Drosophila melanogaster: one gene and its partner. The gene in region 2 interacts genetically with the main gene of each other region. Each region holds a gene or a part of one and is shown on either strand. Other genes may lie near its edges. The genes, in order: Him and Mef2.

Region 1 (3,760 bases), on a different chromosome or scaffold from region 2:
GATGTGGCCCCACTGTGCTCTCTTATCAGTGCGACAATCAGGCATTGCCTTTCCCCATCGGGGGATTCTAATTCCGTGGACGATGGGCCGAAACGCCTATAAAGTCGCTCATTAAAAATGTTTAATTATGGCCCATCTTGCATCTTGCACCGATGTGGATGGGGTTTGTCGGCAATGATTTACATTATAAAAATGCCCGTTATCTGAGCATTTTGTACGCTCCACTCCCTCTTCCCCCCTCCAAAAAAAAAAAAAACAGATATGTATATTCCCCGAGATATTCCCAAGCGGCCAAAAATAGACGCAAATTGTAACGCACTTGAAGTGCACTCTGAAACATCTTGAAGTCCAAATAAAATAGCAGAGAGACCCACAATAATATACGTTGATATACACATGTATATATGTATGTATGTACATAAAGGGCCAGGAGCAGGAACGTTAGGCATGCGGTGGTACGAGCACCGTGGTGCGAGCGAGAGCGCTGTGCTGCCTGAGGGAGAGGTAGCGAGTGGGTTGCATTGCGCACACAGAACATGTGAATGCAGAGTTCAAGTGCATGCCGTGACACAGACACGCACACACACACACGCACACACAGATGAGTAGCCGCTGCAAAGTGTTTTTTCCCAGGCGCTATTTATAATATGCATCCCGTCGCCGATCCGATCCGATCCAATCCAATCCGATTGGATCCCATCTTGCGGCACTACGATTATGACGCTCGACACGATGATGCATTCGCAGAGTTTCCCGATCGCAGAGTACCCTGTACTCGAGTAGTTTTTAGATGCAGTATTATTAAGTAGAAAATTGTAACCGTATAATATTCCATTATATTAAATATTTTTATAGCACTAAAGAAATAAAAGCCCATTTTATAATTTATATTACAAAAATACTTAACCATAGAAACTTATGATATGATACCAATATTTAAGTTCCAAAAAATGTAGAACATTTTTAAGTATATACTCGAAAATATTAATTTTCAAAATTGATATTCAAGAGATATTATAAAAAGATCCCCATTCTAAATATCTAACATCATGCCATGCTTTCTAATGAGTATAGTATACCCCTGCTACCCTGTCAATCCGCAAAACAGGCGCCGAAACATGCGGTTTCTCGCAGCAGACTGCCACGGGAAAAATTCGGTTCGAGATTTGGGAATGGATGTATGACGGAGCAGAAGGAGCAGGACCCGGATTTCGGATTTCGGAATGGATATGGAAATGAAGATGGAAATGGGACTTTGACTGCGCGACGGCCACATGCGCCGCTGGCGATGCCGCTGGATGTTGCATGTGGCAGCGGTCGGTGCAGCAGCGAAAGTGTTGCAGCTGTATGAGAGGGTCTATTTTTGGGGCGATTGTGCGGCGCTGGTGCTGCCACATGTGTTCTGTGTTGGGCTGCTAAAAGGCATTGTAATGAGAGCAGAAAATAGAATTGACTCCACTTGAGCAATGTCCCATAAAGCGGGAGTTTCGAGTTTGGCGCGCAATGTGCCGCACCAGCAAACGAACAAAAGAAAAAAAAAAAAAAAAAACACAGCCAGTAACACATGGGCCCACGAGTTATGTTTTATTTTTAATCCCACAAAGAGTCGATCTCCAAAACAAACCCGCAGAGAGCACATATAAAGAGACTCGGTGGACGAGTGGTTCGAAACAGTCTTCCGCCGCAGCTCGACGCGCTCGCATATCGGGAATATATAGATCGGAGATATCGCAGGACCCACAGCAGAGCAGAGCCGCAGAGCCACCAACCTCGATGGGCGTCATCTACAAGATACTGAAGCAGCAACGCAGCATGGATCTCAGCCTGAGCTCGGCCACCAGGTGCAAGGTGCAGGCGGCCATCAAGCAGCGCCAGCAGCAGCGCCGCCTTGAGGATCACATGGTGGAGGAGCGGGATCGGGATCGGGAGCGGGACCAGCAGCCGGATCAGGATCAGAACCAGGTCCAGAATCACATCGACAAGGATAAGGAGGAGCTGGCCGAGCAGCAATTACAGCAGCTGTGCAGATTTCTAGCCGAGAATGCGGCGCGAAAAAAGGTGAGTGCGGCAAATCCAACAACTAATTTGTGGATATGATTAAAAAAAAAAAATTATATAACAAATAACAGCTGTATAGTATACAGGCTTGTTTAAAGCTTTGCGAGTTATGTTCTTTTCCATCTTTCATTATATTTTTCACTTCGATTGAAGAGGATTCAATTTATTAAACCTTTTAAACCAAAGAACAAAAACATTAAACTATATTACACATTTAAGCAAATCACAATTTCAATTTAAGACTGTAGAACTTAGACTTCACTTGAAAAGCATTTTCATTCAAAAGTTAAACAAAAGCATAGTTAAAATTATTTTGATAGAAAATCATGTTAATTAGCATAAGTAAGAAAAACTTATTATCTAATTGAATATTTTTTCCAAAATTTCGCCATCAGCGTCAGCGTTTCAAGCTGCAGTACCAATGCAATCTGGCCATCGATCAGGATAACGATCAGGAGCAGATGCCGGAGAAGGAGCACTTTGCAGCGCCGCCGCACGAGATGGACCTCGAGTTCATAGAGCAGCTGCAGCAATCCTCGCCCGCCAAATCCCACGGAGCAACTGGGCAGGCGCCACGTGATAGCATCCTGCTGAAGATTCGCCACCAGATCTTCGAGAGAAAGCGGCAGAGGCAGCGCCAGTTGGCGGAGCTGGTGCAGCAGCGAATGGTGGTGTGGCGACCTTGGTAGCCGGATTCCCCCAAAACAAGGAGAAAAAGAGGGAGATAGCTAGAAAGTTAGAAAGAGAGAGAGAGAGAAATCCGGGAACTGAGACTAGTCTAAGGGTTAGCTTTAAGGACGCATTCGGTATTATTCCTGCTGCTGTGTGATGATCGCGCTGCTCTTCCATTTTCCCACGCCTCTGCAAACCGACTTTATTTTTTTTCCTGTTAATAAATAGTTAAGTAATAAAGATTTTTTTTGAAAATAATACCACCACTTCTGTTTTCCATTTACCCTCAGCAATTCGAAATGAAAGTCTGCAGATGCGTTTCTAAAGATTTTTATTCAATGAACTTTGACACCAATTAAAATTGTTTATTCGTATCGGGTATTTGAATGCTGTTTATGGTTAGTTATGCATTGCATTGAATGGTTTATTCGTTAAACTCCATCTGCCTTCGTTCACACTGTTCTGACTCTATTTATGGATATTCTTAGTTCGCCTTCGTGATGCCTGTTCTGATTTCCGGGTTTTTGGTGTCCTAAATGCCTCAAGTTGCCTGACGTTTCACATTTCATATTTCATATATAATTTTCTTCATTTTTTTTTCAATTCAATCTTCTAATTTCCTAAACATTAATTTCTTTCTTGGCTTTGAGCTGAGCTCTGGAAAACGAAAACAAAAGGATCTACGTTCATTCATTGTGATGATTCACCTTTGAGTAGCTGCCACATGCAAGGATATTCGTCAATATCCAAGCAAGTATGTTAATTGTTAGCTTTTGTAACGACTAGGATGTAGATCGGAAAATATTGATTTACTCACACATTAAACTAGTACTTGAAGAATTTGAAGTTATTAACTTTTGGATACATCTTTTGCAAATAATTTTACAATCTTTCGGAATATTTGTCAAATACCTCGAGGAAATTCAAGGAATTGGTACACATGTTATTTGAAATTTAAAGGAGTTCTCGACTGCTGTTGTTTAGAATTTATTTCCGGATATATTCACTGAAGTCGCTGCCAAACTGGATT
Region 2 (5,200 bases):
GAGAAACTAAAATGAACTTGTCATAAAATCTACATTTCAATTCAAACTACCTCATATCTTATTAACATTTACATCTATTTTTAGTATATTATTTATATATTATAAAATATTATCCACAACTTACACACACTTTGTGAATACGACGCTCGTGGTAAATGCTAAAGGCAAATGATAAATGCTTTTGAGATAAAATGTGCCTGTTTGAAGCAAGTGAAATATCGGCAAACTTCGATTTCCAATATTTTTGCAAGCAATCGCATTGGCTCCGCGATATCTGGCTCTCTTCCTGCACCGCGTTTATCAACAATTTCGATTGCAGAAATGCCAGCAAAAGCAAAAGAATCCAAGGTTTTTGTTTTTCGCCCCGAAACACGCGTCTCATGTTAAGGTAGTCGAACAAATTTGAGTTCTCGGGCCCCGAGTCACCTAGAAGTACACCTAGAGCACTTCTATCTTATCGCCAGCACCTACACAGCCGCAAAAGCGGGCGGAGTGTGGGGGAGGGAGCTAAACCAAAACACAGGCGCAAACAGAAAGAAATCGTTATAATAATAATAATTATTATTATTTTTATTTTTATATACAATATATGTGGGGGAGCGCGGCGGCAATAACCATAATTATCACAGACACTCGAGAGCCGCAAACACGGCAAATGGCAAAGGAACATTTATTTTTTTAATAACTACACCAACACATCGACCAGATTGTGCTTCATTTGGCTTGTCAGTGAGCGTGGGCACCTTCACATGCGCACGTGTGATAAGAAAGACTCTCGCTCTCGATGGCAGATAGTGGCCGCAAAAAAAAAAAAACACGAGCAAATAAAACAAATTTTGATTTCGAATTTTTTATCAAGCACCGAAAACGCCAACAACAAACGTAACTCAACTATTTTTCGTTGAAAATTTGCCAACAAATTATTTTGACCTGATAAGATGTCGTTTGTGGGTTTTCCTTCATGGATTGTATTCTTTATTTTACTTGCAGTTTTTCAGAATCGTGTGTCATTTTTGAATTTCAAAACTAATTGAAAGGCATCCAAAAAAAAAAAACAGTTAAAACATTTATTTTTTCGCTTAACTTATGAAGCTTTAGGTATTGGAAATAACTAAATTGTTATAGAATGAGATAAATAATAATGAAATAATAAAGAAAATAAATAAATAATATTATAATTTCTCTATTGATGGAACACTTAAAATACAAAAAAGAAAATAAATAAATAATATTATAATTTCTCTATTGATGGAACACTTAAAATACAAACGCGACCCAAACGTGACTACACCAAATAGTGTTAAAGATCTCGGAGGTTAATGATGGTCGTGATGATGGTCCGAACGTGAACGTGATCGGAGGTGGGGTCCCGTTATCTAGGCTCTGCAATGCCGAATGACCGTAATCGTTTATCGGCGATCGCCGTGGCTAAGTCCACGGCAAATCTGCGGTGATTATCGCCTTCGAATGGCTTTGTTTGTTATTTGAACCCACTGCTCCCTGGATCGAAACGAAATTCCCCTACTCCCTTCCCACGCGACCCCCCTTATGATCCTGCGTAGGTGTCAAAGTGCATTGCACGCATGTCCAGCTGCCTGAGGCGAGATAAGAGAAAATATAATTCTCTGTGCATTTGCTGCTGGCTGAAACAAAGTGCAGACAATTATCAGCAAATTCGCCAATCAGCCAGCCAGCCAGCCAGCCAGTCAATCAGTCAGTTAGTCGGTTGGTCGGTCGGTCGGCCATAAAAACTACATGCAAAAGAACTTGATAGCAGGGAAATGGATTTGAACTTCGCCGGAGGAGTACGGTTCTCGCGGGCCCTCAATATTGATACGAAAATCGCTTATCAGTGGAACGTATATAGTATTTGTGTGTGCGTGTTCGCCCGTCCGAGTGTATGGCAGCTACTCTCAGCATTAAATCGCAAGAAAAGAAATTGAAACATCGAATGATATCAATTGAAAGGGAACTGTTTGAACTGGAATCAAGACAGCGAGGCACAATTCGAAAACCCGGCCGATATCTCTTTTTTTTTTCTTCGGAATCCCAACGTTTGGCTCAGCGATGACGTCAGTGTGCATGGGTAACTTGCTTATTTGGTTCCCGACATGCCGGCTGCCAGTGTTTTTGTAATTGTAAATTATATATAATCAAATTGCCCTATCGGCATATGAAAGGAGGGGTTTACAGCCCATCGATGATCTGTAAATAATTACTAAGCCTTTGGGCGGAATAATAGCTCAATGAGCAAAGGTGGATATGATAACCAAAATTAGGTTTTATAATTCATAATTTATAATTAATTTAACAATGTGTCTCAAAAGTATGACTAACCGAAAATCACTTATAATGTAATGAGGCATTCAATTGGATTTTATGACGCTCATAAATATAAGTCAAATGGTTATCACAAACAGGAAAAATTATTCTTAATACAAGAATGAAAATCTTTCTACCCATTTCGCAAAGGTACTTTGGTTTTAAAAACTAGTTTTCAAACCAAAAACATTCCTCATTGCAGTAGATAAACTTACATGAATCGCTTTTTAGCTGAGCTTCCGTTTTCTCGAAAAAATGTTCTCAAAAATACACTACTCAATAGAAACCGACGAGTTTTGAACTTTTCTGGGGATGTCAGGTCGCTGGCGAGGTGTTTGCACAAATGTTTCCGAGCACACACACGAAAATCTTTGCAATTGAGATGCAAATTGAATTATTGTTTGAATTCTGGCTTTGTTTACGCCGCTCGTTCGATAAACATCGGGGCGAAATGCAGTCAGTGATATGTTTGCTGTTGTGTTTGTCGTGTGCTTTAGCTTTTTGTAAATATAAACAAAGTCCGGGCAGGCGGGGGCGGGGATGTCGCGGCCGCGGTTGGCGCAAATAAAAGTTAAAAATAAAAACTTATAATTGTCCGACGGCTGTTGTTATTTTTATTATTGTTGCCATTTATTTTTGGAAATAGACGTTGAATTTGTTTATATGGAGTAAAAATAAATTATTGCGCGTAGTGCGAGAGCAGCGGGCCAGCATAATTTCTCGCGGCGTTCGATATAGGATCTCTATCTGTTGTGAATCGCTAGCGGAATCGGATCGTTGGATCGTTGGCTCGGAATGAAAATATCGAACTCGCAAACGGATCGCAAACTGATCTGCCGAAATCGAATCGAATCGAAATCTCAAAATCTCGAAATCCCGAAAACCGAAAAACTGAAGAAGCGGCGCTGCGGACGCGTACAAACGTACTGACGGATATGCCGTCGTTGACGTCGTAACGCCAAGTACGCACACACAGATACGCCCGCACACAGCTGCACTGCGCCAGGCTCTCTCGCAGTCGCACACTAACACACACACGCACAGCCAGCAACGAACACGTATACGTAGGCTGGCGGTGAGGATTTTCGTTTCGTGGTGAACTCACTCACACGCGCACACCTTCTAACGGTGCCTTTTGTTTTTGCCTTTTTGTGTAACAGAATATCGCACACATACATTGCCGGGCAATCGGAGAGCGGGAGAGACGGAGAGAGTGCGCAGCCGCTGACTTTGAGTTCCTACTCACAACGAAAGCAAGAGTGAGCGAGAGGTGGCGGGGGGTTAGAGTGTGGGGCTGGTGGGGGTGAGTGAGTAATTCGGTTTGTGAGTGAGTGCGTGCGGGAGTCGAACGAGAAACATATGGTTTTTGTTTGTGCCCCAGCCAGACACACACACACGCACACTCACCCACACACTTGATCAATCAGCAACAGTTACAGTTAGTTCCCTCGCCGAGCTTGTTGTCCCGCTCTGGCAACCTCCCATAAATGTTAATTATCCCCCACTTCACCACCCCCATTAACTACACCCCTGCTAAACATCGCTTTGGTTTCCGTTTTCCTTTGTATCCGTATCTCCCTGCCCTGCCAGGACCTCTCCCCTCCCGCTTTGCCCACTATCTGGTTTTTTTTTTGTGTGTATTTTATTTATTTGTCCTTGCCACTGGATCCTCTCTATAAACACCCACCCACCATTAGTTTTCCCCTTCGACGCAGCTTAATAAAAACTTTGTTGACCTGCGTTTGGCAGTAGAAAAAAAGGTAAGTATATACTCGATACCCTGTTACAAAAGATGGGGCATACTTACTGGCTGTGGTTACGCCTTTTAGAAACGCGAAGTATGATATAACTATCATTAAAATTAATTTCATTTTTAATAGGTTATATTAACTTTGGAATTGTGACAGCTGTTTAGCTTCTTAGCTCCGATGTGAACGTAAACTAGAATGTTGAACTTGATTCAGAAAAAATAAAGCGTAAATCCTTTTTTCATTTGTTACCTAATTTTGTGCGATACAACATACAACATATCCTGTAATTCGTCTGCTGGCGGGTACACAAAACAAACAGGAAGGAATCGGAAGGGACAAAGAGTAGGACCCGTAGGATCCTAGGGTGTGCGGCAACCAACGATTCATTGTTTCTGCTCGATTGATGATTGCCTATTCAGACAGAGGTAAAGTAGTTGTATGGCTGAAGTTGGGGCTTAATTTGTGAATCGGACCGCCAGCCAGCCAAGTGGGATCCAAAGCCCTGTGACCCAGACCCTGTCTATTGTTGCGTTAAGCGAGATATTATTTACCTTAAACACGCTCTATTATGCAGGTTATGTAGGCGAAAAGATAATAAAGTAGGGATACATGTACCCCAACTTGATCCCAATAGAGTTTATTACAAAAATCGACTTTTATAAAAGCAGGAAAATTGGGAACGTTGTATGTGATTAGTCCACATCTGGGAGGCAAATAAAAGCTGTGGCTACTTTCCAGCCATCTATAGTTCTAACCCATATAGGAAATGATTTTGCGTCTATTTATACATAATAAAAATATTTCCAATAGCGAGAATTTTAGTGATTAGCCATTACCATATGGCATTTAAATCAATAAGAAAATATATTAAAAGATTTTCTTGTTTACTGTAAGTTGCGATTTAATAACTGGAGTGATAGTTAAAACACAGACAAAAGGACATTAAGGGAGGTGAAATCTTAAGGAATGCCCATATTGCAGTTGCAGTTAAGTGGACGCAACTTTAACGTGACTTTCCGAGTAATATGCGAATGCCAGATGCCGCAGATATTGCTCCGCCCCGTCGAGTGAATGGATTCTGTAAAAATCACGCATAACCGATACCAAGTGCAGCGCGACCAAGTTAC

What was found.
Region 1: of Mef2 (region 2) and Him, changing one suppresses a phenotype caused by changing the other (phenotypic suppression), as found in Drosophila melanogaster (one study listed by BioGRID).

Annotation. Positions count from the first base shown.
Region 1 is NC_004354.4:18,207,761-18,211,520, forward strand, and holds Him (holes in muscle), read left to right. Parts: upstream 1-1,666; 5' UTR 1,667-1,773; coding exon 1,774-2,058; intron 2,059-2,453; coding exon 2,454-2,747; 3' UTR 2,748-2,981; downstream 2,982-3,760.
Region 2 is NT_033778.4:9,926,363-9,931,562, forward strand, and holds the start of Mef2 (myocyte enhancer factor 2), read right to left. Parts: upstream 3,254-5,200; 5' UTR 2,538-3,253; intron 508-2,537; 5' UTR 125-507; intron 1-124. UniProt on the Drosophila melanogaster protein: Transcription factor that could be a key player in early mesoderm differentiation and may be required for subsequent cell fate specifications within the somatic and visceral/heart mesodermal layers.